Linked DNA regions of Saccharomyces cerevisiae S288C. The protein of the gene in region 2 purifies or fractionates together with the protein of the main gene of each other region. This does not show direct contact. Each region holds a gene or a part of one and is shown on either strand. Other genes may lie near its edges.

Region 1 (6,225 bases), on a different chromosome or scaffold from region 2:
TTTAGGTTATGCATCGTTGTCAGTAAGAAATCAGATGAATGCGATCTGAAACTTTGCTTATACTAATATTATTCTATCATACCTCATTTTCTTGCTTCGATTAATGCAGGACGCCGGTTCCGGGTTAGGATCACCGAGAAACAGAAAGCAAGCAAGGCTTCAGTTACAATTCGAAGAAGTACTAAGGGGGTTGTCGTGGAAAAATCTTGAATCAGAAAGCGGCTGACTGGAGCATTACTAGGTTCATTACTCACTGGTTCTACTCATGAAACCTTACTTATTTGACCTAAAGCTAAAAGACACAGAGAAGCTGGATTGGAAAAAAGGCCTCTCCTCATATCTCAAGAAATCATACGGCTCCTCACAATGGAGAACATTTTATGATGAGAAAGCTACTTCAGAACTGGATCACTTAAGGAATAATGCAAATGGAGAACTAGCACCTTCTTCATTGTCGGAACAAAATCTAAAATATTACTCATTTTTGGAGCATCTTTATTTTCGCCTGGGTAGCAAAGGATCAAGATTAAAAATGGATTTCACTTGGTATGACGCAGAATACTCATCGGCCCAGAAAGGATTGAAATACACGCAACATACGTTAGCATTTGAAAAGTCTTGTACTTTGTTCAACATTGCTGTAATCTTTACCCAAATTGCGAGGGAGAATATCAATGAGGACTACAAAAACTCAATCGCAAATTTGACAAAAGCTTTTTCCTGTTTTGAATATCTATCAGAAAATTTTTTGAACTCACCTTCAGTCGATCTTCAGTCAGAAAACACTAGGTTTCTGGCTAATATTTGCCATGCAGAAGCTCAAGAATTGTTTGTCTTGAAATTATTAAATGATCAAATATCATCCAAGCAATATACATTAATCAGTAAACTTTCTAGAGCCACGTGTAACCTCTTTCAGAAATGTCACGATTTTATGAAAGAAATAGATGACGATGTGGCCATTTATGGTGAACCCAAATGGAAAACGACAGTTACTTGCAAACTGCATTTCTACAAATCGTTAAGCGCTTATTATCACGGTTTACACCTTGAAGAAGAAAATAGAGTTGGCGAAGCAATTGCTTTTCTCGATTTTTCTATGCAACAATTGATTTCATCCCTTCCATTCAAAACGTGGTTAGTGGAATTTATAGACTTTGATGGGTTTAAAGAAACTTTAGAAAAGAAACAAAAGGAGTTGATTAAAGATAACGATTTTATATATCATGAAAGCGTTCCAGCCGTTGTGCAGGTTGATTCCATTAAGGCGCTCGATGCAATAAAATCTCCAACATGGGAGAAGATATTAGAACCATATATGCAAGATGTTGCAAATAAATGTGACTCTTTGTACAGAGGAATTATTCCCCTAGATGTCTATGAAAAGGAAAGTATTTACTCAGAAGAAAAAGCGACGCTGTTGAGAAAGCAAGTTGAAGAAACTGAGACAGCAAATTTGGAATATTCTTCCTTCATCGAATTTACAAATCTACCCAGGCTCTTGAGTGATTTGGAAAAACAATTTAGTGACGGAAATATTTTCTCGAATACGGATACACAGGGACAATTGATGAGGGACCAAATTCAGACATGGTGTAAATTTATCCAAACAAATGAATTTAGGGATATAGAAGAACAGATGAACAAAATTGTTTTCAAAAGGAAACAAATTTTAGAAATCCTTTCTGCCTTACCCAATGATCAAAAAGAAAATGTTACAAAACTAAAATCTTCTTTAGTAGCTGCTTCAAACTCAGACGAAAAATTGTTCGCATGCGTAAAACCACATATTGTCGAGATCAATCTATTGAATGACAATGGAAAAATATGGAAGAAGTTTGACGAATTTAATCGCAATACGCCTCCACAACCTAGCCTATTGGATATCGATGATACCAAAAACGACAAGATATTAGAGTTGTTAAAACAAGTAAAGGGCCATGCGGAAGACTTAAGAACATTGAAAGAGGAACGTTCGAGAAATTTGTCTGAACTAAGAGACGAAATCAACAACGATGATATCACAAAATTATTAATTATTAATAAGGGGAAATCCGATGTTGAGCTCAAAGATTTATTCGAGGTGGAACTGGAGAAATTCGAGCCTTTGAGCACAAGAATAGAGGCGACAATTTACAAACAATCTTCAATGATAGATGACATCAAAGCCAAGCTAGATGAAATTTTTCACCTTTCAAATTTCAAGGATAAATCTTCTGGGGAAGAAAAATTTTTAGAAGATCGTAAGAATTTTTTTGATAAGCTGCAAGAAGCAGTGAAATCATTCAGTATTTTTGCATCCGACTTGCCAAAAGGAATAGAGTTCTATGATTCATTATTCAATATGAGTAGAGACTTAGCAGAAAGAGTGAGAGTTGCAAAGCAGACCGAGGATTCAACAGCTAATTCTCCCGCTCCTCCCCTCCCTCCACTTGATTCTAAAGCGTCTGTCGTTGGGGGTCCTCCATTACTGCCCCAAAAAAGTGCAGCCTTTCAGTCATTATCTAGACAAGGGCTCAATTTAGGGGACCAATTTCAAAATCTCAAAATAAGTGCCGGCAGTGATTTACCTCAAGGACCCGGTATTCCACCAAGAACTTATGAAGCTTCGCCATATGCTGCAACGCCTACTATGGCAGCCCCACCAGTACCACCGAAACAATCGCAAGAGGATATGTACGACTTGAGAAGACGTAAAGCAGTTGAAAACGAAGAACGTGAACTGCAAGAGAATCCTACGTCCTTTTACAATAGACCCTCTGTTTTTGATGAAAATATGTACTCCAAATACAGCAGTTAGGTGCATTTCTTATTTCTTAATTTTATTGTAGCTTTTTTTTTTCAACTAATATGATAATTATATATATACCGGATTTGTTGAAAGCCAGTTTTGCAAGGATAAAGAAACTGCGATTTAGCAAAAGTCCCTTTAATGCTTCTTCCATCTTTGATCTACTTTCTTTTGAGTATTAGGTGTATACCATACACTTTCAGATCCAAAATCAGCCTCGGACATTTTTACAAACGAAATAAGGCCATTATCCATAATAGCGATAATAAAGCTCCGATATCCCGTCTTCAATCTACGATTTTGCTGTATGTGAGGTGGGTACGCCTTTCTCTTCTTTTTCGTGCTAGACTGTGCAGTTTTTTTTTGAAAACTTGCTTTCATAGACGACTCACTTTTTTCAGTTTGAGATTTCGCGCTCCTCTTATGAATATATTCCTTTCGTGGGATATCTTCAACGTAGGAGTTTGTCTCCCAATCGTCATCATCCTCGATTTCGCTTAAAAATTCGAATTTATAATCAAGTGAGGAAAACATAGATCGCAGCTCTTTATAGGTAGGAAAATGCTGAAGATCGTCATTTTTATTGTAAACGAAAACTTGGAAATCAGGAAGACCGGGGTCTCTTTTCTTGAAATTAGAATGGGGTTTCCATACTTTAAATGTCAAGGGAATATCCTTTACCTTTTGAAATTCCCTATCAGATTGTGCATCCAATAGCTCTTTTTTATTCTTTGGTACAGCCACGGAACGAACAAGCCTATTTAAACCCTGGTATAACTGTGGTGAAGTCGTATATTTACGAAAAAAAAAATTCCACTTAGAATAGAAGAAACCACTAAACAGCGATAACTCTTGTATTTTAAACAATGAAAGTAATCTCCAAGTGATTGCTTGTAAATTACTTCGTTGCTTTTTCAATGGGAAAAAGGAAGTCTTGACTGCTGCTTCTTGATTGCTGGGTTTTAGAATAAAACCCAACCTTTTTAAATGAGCAAACACAAAATATTGGTCCATTTCCTGTTGCGATGAAAACAGCGAATACAAATCCTCCATACTGAGTAAAATCTCTGTTTCGTGCTTTGAGCTTTTGTTAGAGCCTGCTTCTAATCTATAATAAGGAAGAATAGTGCCTCTCTCTGCCAAATAAACAAACTCATGGAAGTCAAGCCAGAGTTCGCCTGTGCTATCAGCCCTTCCCATCGTTTGCATAAAGCTGCCTTTGGGTTTAAGTAGAACGGCTTGATGTTTATGGGGAACATAGTATCCTCTTACTTCAGATTTTACTGTTGTGCCTCTTATTGAGTCTGATATGGTATCAAACATGGCTTTACTTGCATTATAGAGAAGCAGATCTTGCAAATTAGTCCCATCTGGTTCATAGTCTTTTTCACCCCTCTTTGGAAGTGAAAGAGCAGCATTTTTGCTAACGAGCGATGCGAGTTGCGACCAATCTTGTTGTAGTTCTTCTTCTTCTTCTTCTTCTTCTTCAAAGCCCGGATTAGATGTGGTCACTTGATCAGTTTTCTTCCCAGCGAATTGCATTTAAATTGGCAGAAGAACAGAGGTTTTATGTATGTTTATATCCAAACGTTTCGATAGCTCAAATGAATAATTTTTCATACTGAGATGAAGCTCTGCAGAGTTCGACTAAACTGTTTCTAGTTTCCCTTTGGCGCAACTTAACTATGAAAAATAATAAAATAAAAAAAAAGTCCAAGCCATAATCAATAGACAGCTAATAACCTGAATTTTAACAAGAGAATATGAAAACATTATCAATACTGATTTGAATATACCCGTAAATTCTATAAGACTCCATTAATATACCGTATTATATTACAAGTTGATAATACATAAATGCGTTAAATAAAACAAAAATGACCTTGTATACGCGTCATTCCAATGCAAGAATTTGTTTATCGTAAAGTTTTGATGAAGGTGTCTAAATTATACTCCTCCTCGTATTGAGATGGGTCCCATAGCTCTTTCAATTCACCGAGGGCCTCTTTGGCTTTGCCAGTTAAACCAGTCTCGTTGGCAATATCTTCCATGCCCTTGGCTGCTTGGGAATCGCCATTATTCTTTTCCTCATTGTCCTGTGAGGTAACGTTATCGGGGTCGAAGAGATCAAGCAGCTGATGTGTATCCATGGATGCTAATCCACTGTTTTGCTGATTAACAACTGTAGAAGCTATATTCATTTTGAATTTCTGCAAACCCATGATTTTTTCTTCAAGCGTACCTTTCGTAATAATTCTGTAAACATTAACAACCTTTTTCTGACCAATTCTATGTGCTCTGTCCATTGCCTGTAGATCATTCATTGGATTCCAGTCATGCTCTACAAAAATGACGGTGTCTGCACCAGTTAAATTCAGACCCAGCCCTCCGACCTTGGTGGTCAACAGTAGGCAATCAATAGAGGGATCTTCGTTAAATTTCCGAACAACTTTTTGTCTGTCTCTTGGGTCAATGCTTCCATCTAGCCTCATATAGGTTACGGAGGGCATATACTTTTTAAACAAGTCATTTTCAACCATGTCTAGCATATCTTTTAGTTGGCAGAAAATCAGGGCTCTGTGTTGTGATATGACATTTTGAATAGGAAAATTCTGATCTTGGCTTGCTTTTTTGTCGATATCTTCTTCACCTATACCACATTCAAAGAGTAATGTTCTCAATGCGCTCAGTTTTGGAGCGTTGATAATATCGTGTAAATCTAGACCAGTTTGCTTTAAATAGTCTTGTACTTGCGCTAATTGCGGGTGATTTGGTGAAAGGACCAAAGCTGGATGATTACACAATTTTCTCATGTATTGTAAAGCTTGGAAAATATGTTGCTTGCCATCAGCAATCTCAGAATTTTCAATATCTTTCTCAACTACATTTTTTTGTTTTTTAGTAAAATCCATGTATAGTTGTTTTTGTAAATCACCTAATTCACAGTAGTAATCCTGAATAATTTTAGGTGGTAAATCAGATAGAACGTCTTCCTTCAATCTTCTCAGCATGAAAGGTAGAACTTGCTTATGTAGTGCCTCCAAAGCCAGTACACCTGCTTCCTGCTCCTTAGATGATGTTTTACTATTTCTTGACGCAGCGATTGGCTTTGCGAACCTTTCCTGGAACATCTTTTCCGTTCCCAAAAATCCCGGCATTAAGAAGTCAAACAGAGACCACAATTCTAAAACGTTGTTTTGGATGGGAGTTCCGGTTAAAATTAATCTATGGTTTGCAGTAATTTCTTTAACAGCCTTAGCAAGTTTTGATTGAGAGTTTTTAATTATATGTCCTTCATCCAAAACACAATAATTATATTCAGTTTTGTTTAGGACTGCGAGATCATTTCTAGCTACGTCATATGATGTTACAATAATATCAGCATCACTTAACTGTGGTCTCAGAGTTAATCTGACAGTTGGGCCACCGGCATA
Region 2 (7,421 bases):
GAAGTCTTAAAAAGGTCAAGCTCTACATTAAAATCTAATTCTTCGTTGCCTCCAAAACCGATCAGCAAAACCCCTTCGGCCAAGACTGTTTCTCCTACTACACAGATTTCTGCAGGGAAATCAGAATCTAGAAGAAGTGGCAGCAACATATCTCAAGGCCAATCATCTACCGGCCATACCACGAGATCTAGTACTTCATTGAGAAGACGTAATCATGGTTCCTTTTTTGGTGCCAAGAACCCTCATACTAATGACGCCAAGAGAGTGTTGTTCGGAAAAAGTTTTAATATGTTCATCAAATCCAAGGAGGCCCACGATGAAAAGAAGAAAGGCGATGATGCCTCGGAGAATATGGAACCCTTCTTTATTGAAAAACCTTATTTTACTGCGCCAACCTGGTTAAATACAATTGAAGAATCGTATAAGACATTTTTCCCAGATGAGGATACGGCGATTCAAGAAGCTCAAACTAGGTTCCAACAACGCCAATTGAACTCCATGGGCAATGCTGTGCCTGGTATGAATCCAGCTATGGGCATGAATATGGGCGGGATGATGGGCTTTCCGATGGGAGGTCCATCGGCATCACCAAATCCGATGATGAATGGCTTTGCTGCTGGGTCAATGGGTATGTACATGCCATTTCAACCTCAGCCAATGTTTTATCACCCATCTATGCCTCAAATGATGCCAGTTATGGGTAGCAATGGGGCTGAAGAAGGAGGAGGAAATATTTCGCCCCATGTCCCTGCAGGTTTTATGGCAGCTGGCCCTGGCGCTCCTATGGGTGCCTTCGGGTATCCAGGAGGGATACCCTTCCAAGGAATGATGGGATCAGGTCCATCTGGCATGCCAGCGAACGGGTCGGCAATGCACAGTCATGGCCATAGTAGAAATTACCATCAAACTAGCCACCATGGCCACCATAATAGTAGTACCAGTGGCCATAAATAGTGAAGGAAGCACGTCAGAAAAAGCAATATATAGTAATAAATTCATGCACTTTATAAATATGGTATATAATCAGTGGTACTTACTTACCCATAAATAATGGAACTTTTAATTTTTATGGGAAGGATACTGGATTTTCATTTTTTTCATTTTTTTTGGAACAGGGTACTGAAACTTTTCTTTTTGAAAAAAAAATAAGAACTGAAGAATTTCAATGAACTGGAAGGCTCATCCATTTTTTTTTTTTTTCTTCAGATAGAACAGGCTTTAGCAAATTTTAAGTAATCAGTATTTCAATCGCCACAATCTCAGGCTACATTGAACTCTGTAGGCCACCGATAAATATTGCGGGATAATGAGTAAACGAATTCAACGAGTTTCCTATTTTGGTATTCTATATTTTTTCATACACCTAAACGATCGTAAACATTTGTTGTCAAGATTTACGTTTCTTCGAGGTCTGTGAAAATAGAGCAAATTGTTACTTAAAAGACAACAACAAATGTGTAGGGCAATTCTGCAGTAACAGCAATGTCATTCCTAATGCGTACAAACAGTACTGAGACTTTCAAACGAATAATAACTTCAGCAATAAAAATTGTCCAGGTTAATTATGGAAGATATAGAAGGATACGAACCACATATCACTCAAGAGTTGATAGACCGTGGCCATGCAAGACGTATGGGCCACTTGGAAAACTACTTTGCTGTTTTGAGTAGGCAGAAAATGTACTCGAATTTTACTGTTTACGCGGAATTGAATAAAGGTGTTAATAAGAGACAACTAATGCTTGTCTTGAAAGTATTACTTCAAAAATACTCAACTCTTGCGCATACAATCATTCCTAAGCATTATCCTCATCATGAAGCGTACTACTCTAGCGAAGAGTACCTTAGTAAACCTTTTCCACAGCATGATTTCATAAAGGTGATTTCTCATCTTGAATTCGATGACTTGATTATGAATAATCAACCAGAATACAGAGAAGTCATGGAGAAAATCTCAGAACAGTTCAAAAAGGATGATTTCAAAGTCACCAATAGGTTAATCGAATTGATTAGCCCTGTAATCATACCTCTGGGTAATCCGAAGAGGCCTAATTGGAGATTGATTTGTTTACCAGGTAAGGATACTGATGGGTTTGAAACGTGGAAAAACTTCGTTTATGTCACTAACCACTGCGGCTCCGACGGTGTCAGTGGATCGAATTTTTTCAAAGATTTAGCTCTACTCTTTTGTAAAATCGAAGAAAAAGGGTTTGATTATGATGAAGAGTTCATCGAAGATCAAGTCATCATTGACTATGATCGAGACTACACTGAAATTTCTAAATTGCCAAAACCGATTACGGATCGTATTGACTACAAGCCAGCATTGACTTCATTACCCAAATTCTTTTTAACAACCTTCATTTATGAACATTGTAATTTTAAAACCTCCAGCGAATCTACACTTACAGCTAGATATAGCCCCTCTAGTAATGCTAATGCTAGTTACAATTACTTGTTGCATTTCAGTACTAAGCAAGTAGAACAAATCAGAGCTCAGATCAAGAAAAATGTTCACGATGGGTGCACCCTAACACCCTTCATTCAAGCGTGCTTTCTTGTAGCCCTGTATAGACTGGATAAGCTGTTCACAAAATCTCTTCTCGAGTATGGGTTCGATGTGGCTATTCCAAGCAACGCAAGAAGGTTTTTACCAAACGATGAAGAGTTAAGAGATTCTTATAAATACGGCTCCAACGTTGGAGGTTCGCATTACGCCTATCTAATCTCCTCATTCGACATTCCCGAAGGTGACAATGACAAGTTTTGGAGTCTTGTCGAATACTACTATGACCGCTTTTTAGAATCGTACGACAACGGTGACCACTTGATTGGTCTGGGGGTCCTACAACTTGATTTTATCGTTGAAAACAAGAATATAGACAGCCTTCTTGCCAACTCTTATTTGCACCAGCAAAGAGGCGGTGCAATCATCAGTAATACAGGACTTGTCTCGCAAGATACGACCAAGCCGTACTACGTTCGGGATTTAATCTTCTCGCAGTCTGCAGGCGCCTTGAGATTTGCGTTCGGCCTAAACGTTTGCTCCACAAACGTGAATGGTATGAACATGGACATGAGCGTGGTTCAGGGCACTCTACGGGATCGTGGCGAATGGGAATCGTTCTGCAAGCTCTTCTACCAAACCATCGGCGAATTTGCGTCGCTTTAATGCGATACTGCCGTAGCGGGCCTTCGTATAGCTCGGCCGAGCTCGTACAAAAGGCAAGCAGTGTATCGGACAGAGCTGATATAACACAATACGCTCGTAGTCGATGCATGCCGTGGCTGCTCTCGGTCGGGTATAAGTCTTAGACAATAGTCTTACCTCGCATGTATAATAAATCTTTTGTATTTAATCTATTATATGTTTCTATGCTTTTTTTTCCTATTGTTGTTTGCTTTTCCTTTTCCTTATTTCTTTCTAGCTTCTAATTTTCTTTCTTTTTTTTTTTTTTTTCATTGAAAATTATATATATATATATATATCAGAACAATTGTCCAGTATTGAACAATACAGGTTATTTCGAACAATTGAAAAAAAAAAATCACAGAAAAACATATCGAGAAAAGGGTCATGTCTGCTGTTAACGTTGCACCTGAATTGATTAATGCCGACAACACAATTACCTACGATGCGATTGTCATCGGTGCTGGTGTTATCGGTCCATGTGTTGCTACTGGTCTAGCAAGAAAGGGTAAGAAAGTTCTTATCGTAGAACGTGACTGGGCTATGCCTGATAGAATTGTTGGTGAATTGATGCAACCAGGTGGTGTTAGAGCATTGAGAAGTCTGGGTATGATTCAATCTATCAACAACATCGAAGCATATCCTGTTACCGGTTATACCGTCTTTTTCAACGGCGAACAAGTTGATATTCCATACCCTTACAAGGCCGATATCCCTAAAGTTGAAAAATTGAAGGACTTGGTCAAAGATGGTAATGACAAGGTCTTGGAAGACAGCACTATTCACATCAAGGATTACGAAGATGATGAAAGAGAAAGGGGTGTTGCTTTTGTTCATGGTAGATTCTTGAACAACTTGAGAAACATTACTGCTCAAGAGCCAAATGTTACTAGAGTGCAAGGTAACTGTATTGAGATATTGAAGGATGAAAAGAATGAGGTTGTTGGTGCCAAGGTTGACATTGATGGCCGTGGCAAGGTGGAATTCAAAGCCCACTTGACATTTATCTGTGACGGTATCTTTTCACGTTTCAGAAAGGAATTGCACCCAGACCATGTTCCAACTGTCGGTTCTTCGTTTGTCGGTATGTCTTTGTTCAATGCTAAGAATCCTGCTCCTATGCACGGTCACGTTATTCTTGGTAGTGATCATATGCCAATCTTGGTTTACCAAATCAGTCCAGAAGAAACAAGAATCCTTTGTGCTTACAACTCTCCAAAGGTCCCAGCTGATATCAAGAGTTGGATGATTAAGGATGTCCAACCTTTCATTCCAAAGAGTCTACGTCCTTCATTTGATGAAGCCGTCAGCCAAGGTAAATTTAGAGCTATGCCAAACTCCTACTTGCCAGCTAGACAAAACGACGTCACTGGTATGTGTGTTATCGGTGACGCTCTAAATATGAGACATCCATTGACTGGTGGTGGTATGACTGTCGGTTTGCATGATGTTGTCTTGTTGATTAAGAAAATAGGTGACCTAGACTTCAGCGACCGTGAAAAGGTTTTGGATGAATTACTAGACTACCATTTCGAAAGAAAGAGTTACGATTCCGTTATTAACGTTTTGTCAGTGGCTTTGTATTCTTTGTTCGCTGCTGACAGCGATAACTTGAAGGCATTACAAAAAGGTTGTTTCAAATATTTCCAAAGAGGTGGCGATTGTGTCAACAAACCCGTTGAATTTCTGTCTGGTGTCTTGCCAAAGCCTTTGCAATTGACCAGGGTTTTCTTCGCTGTCGCTTTTTACACCATTTACTTGAACATGGAAGAACGTGGTTTCTTGGGATTACCAATGGCTTTATTGGAAGGTATTATGATTTTGATCACAGCTATTAGAGTATTCACCCCATTTTTGTTTGGTGAGTTGATTGGTTAACTACAGCTTATAAGGGAGAGAGGATAGGAACCGTCAAACATTAAGCTGCACCTTTTTTTTTTATTACAGAAGTCGGCTTGGAAGGCTTGTATAGTACATTACGATAAACACATCTTATTTTTATTTATTACTTATTTATTTTACATATTTTCAAAAAAATTCACATATCATTTATTATTAACCGAAGTGTTTTATACTTTTTGTTCTTTCCTTAAAAATGCCTCCAACAGAAAAGGAAAAATGGCTTGATATGCTTCAAAATATGCATTGAGATTCATATTCGGTTATCAATTAACGATATTACTTCCTTAAGTGATATTAAATCAAGCTTGCCGGATTCTGCAGTCAGAATTATACATAATAGTATTTGTGCTCTCGTAAATCCTTTCAGAATTACACCATAGTAGTCTTTGTGAATGTTCTACTTATTAGAATAGATTATTGCTAGTTTATCTCACTTTTCATTCCCCATATCCCTTTTTTTGCTCATCCCCCGGGGTATTTTATCAAGATAAAATTTTATATACATGCAGTGCGCGATAACTCCTAGAGAGGCAGTAATAGCAAAACAAAGACAGTATAAGCATTATTTGGGTATGGAAAGACCATTGTGGGTACGTTGGTTGAAAGTCTATGCAATTGGTGGCGCTATTATTGGAAGCGGGTTTCTGCTTTTCAAGTACACAACGCCAACAGATCAACAGTTAATCAGCCAGCTTTCCCCAGAATTACGTTTACAATATGAGAGGGAGAAAAAACTACGTCAGTCGGAGCAGCAGGCTTTGATGAAAATTGTTAAGGAAACTTCTCAAAGTGACGATCCAATTTGGAAGACGGGCCCCCTTCAATCACCTTGGGAAAGGAACGGTGATAACGTTCAAAGCAGAGATCACTTTGCTAAGGTGAGGGCGGAGGAGGTGCAAAAAGAAGAGTTGGCTAGGATCAGAAATGAACTGTCTCAGCTAAGATCTGAAACGGAGGAGAAAACAAAGGAAATAGTCCAGGATAAGCAGGTTAAAAGCTGGTGGCGCTTCTGGTAGATGGGTCGGGTCACTCAATTAGGAAGGGCAGCTTGAACTTTTGCATCCTAAAACATACGTCTGTGTCATTTATGATATATTATTTATTTGTACACTGTAAATAGGTTTAAAAATATAACTTCATACTTATTTTTAGCTATTTTAGTTCCCATACTTGGGGATGGAAAAAACATTGCGCAAGCCCGGAATCGAACCGGGGGCCCAACGATGGCAACGTTGGATTTTACCACTAAACCACTTGCGCTTGTTATTTATATGAGATTATTGCATCATGCAATGGGGTAATGTCAAGGTTCTTGACAATCCTAATATAAACAGTCTTAGGGAAGTAACCAGTTGTCAAAACGGTTTATCAGCTTGATTCACGGGATCTTACTTATCCTATATATTATATAAAATATGGATCATACTAAATGGTGGAAGCGCGGAATCTTGGATCTAAACCAATTGTTCAGATACTTATACGTTAGAGTAGGTTAGCTAAGGAAGGCAGAGTTTTATTTTCATGTTGCTCATTCTGTTCGTTTTGCTGTAAGGTTGTTTCATATGTGTTTTATGAACGTTTAGGATGATGTATTGTCATACTGAGGTATCCCATTCTGAGATACAACAGAGAAGGTTCCTTTATACTTACTACACTAGGTACCACTATTATAATTTCGAGATTTCATTGTCATTCGGGTTTATTTATTCATTTGAAGCCCAGAATGACAATTTTTATGAACGGAGCTCTTCAAATTACATTATAAAAGTATATACGAATATACCATGAAAGTAACACCTTCCGGTTCTCACTAAAAAACCTATTTTCAGCATTTATTTCTACTACAAGGAAAATGAGTCCGTTTAGTCATGCAAAATCTCTGCTCCGTACTACAGTTCTCGATGCTGATCTTGTTTTTTCATGTTTCTTTAAAATCTATTCATTTATACTATTTCGCGAATAAAGAAACTACATCTTCATCATCAATCCTGTGGTTTAAGCCGCACTTCTGAGGAGAATGTTTGGCAGAAGAACCCCAAACCAATGCGTATTTGAACTTATCTTTGAAATCCCTGTGGATACCATGACATAAGTCACCAATAGTGGAATTATTTCTTACCACTAGAGGATCATCAAATACTGGTCTAACACCTCTCTTCTTTGTATACACACGACTCAAGTTCAGCTGGTACCAAATTTCTTCAACGACGTCTTGTAATCCCAAATCCATTTCACAGGACATAACAACGGTGTTTGGCTCTCTGGCAAGTTTATCCACCTCTTCTAATGATACTGCATCTATCTTATTATACACATAAAGACATTTGAC

Evidence for each region. Proteins that work in one complex are often made in the same cells at the same time.
Region 1: the proteins of ATF2 (region 2) and SEN54 purify together in Saccharomyces cerevisiae (affinity purification with mass spectrometry, with the first as the bait; one large-scale study listed by BioGRID). This does not show direct contact.

The regions. Positions count from the first base shown.
Region 1 is NC_001148.4:393,773-399,997, forward strand, and holds SEN54 (tRNA splicing endonuclease subunit SEN54), read right to left. Parts: upstream 4,334-6,225; coding exon 2,930-4,333; downstream 1-2,929. Other genes in the region: BRO1 (Bro1p), read left to right, coding at 266-2,800; MOT1 (DNA-binding ATPase), read right to left, coding at 4,708-6,225. UniProt on the Saccharomyces cerevisiae protein: Non-catalytic subunit of the tRNA-splicing endonuclease complex, a complex responsible for identification and cleavage of the splice sites in pre-tRNA. It cleaves pre-tRNA at the 5' and 3' splice sites to release the intron.
Region 2 is NC_001139.9:844,580-852,000, reverse strand, and holds ATF2 (alcohol O-acetyltransferase), read left to right. Parts: upstream 1-1,564; coding exon 1,565-3,172; downstream 3,173-7,421. Other genes in the region: PBP1 (Pbp1p), read left to right, coding at 1-954; ERG1 (squalene monooxygenase), read left to right, coding at 3,578-5,068; YGR174W-A (uncharacterized protein), read right to left, coding at 5,260-5,346; CBP4 (Cbp4p), read left to right, coding at 5,596-6,108; RBG2 (Rbg2p), read right to left, coding at 7,041-7,421. UniProt on the Saccharomyces cerevisiae protein: Can use acetyl-CoA to synthesize acetate esters from various alcohols, producing ethyl acetate, isoamyl acetate, isobutyl acetate, butyl acetate, hexyl acetate, heptyl acetate and octyl acetate.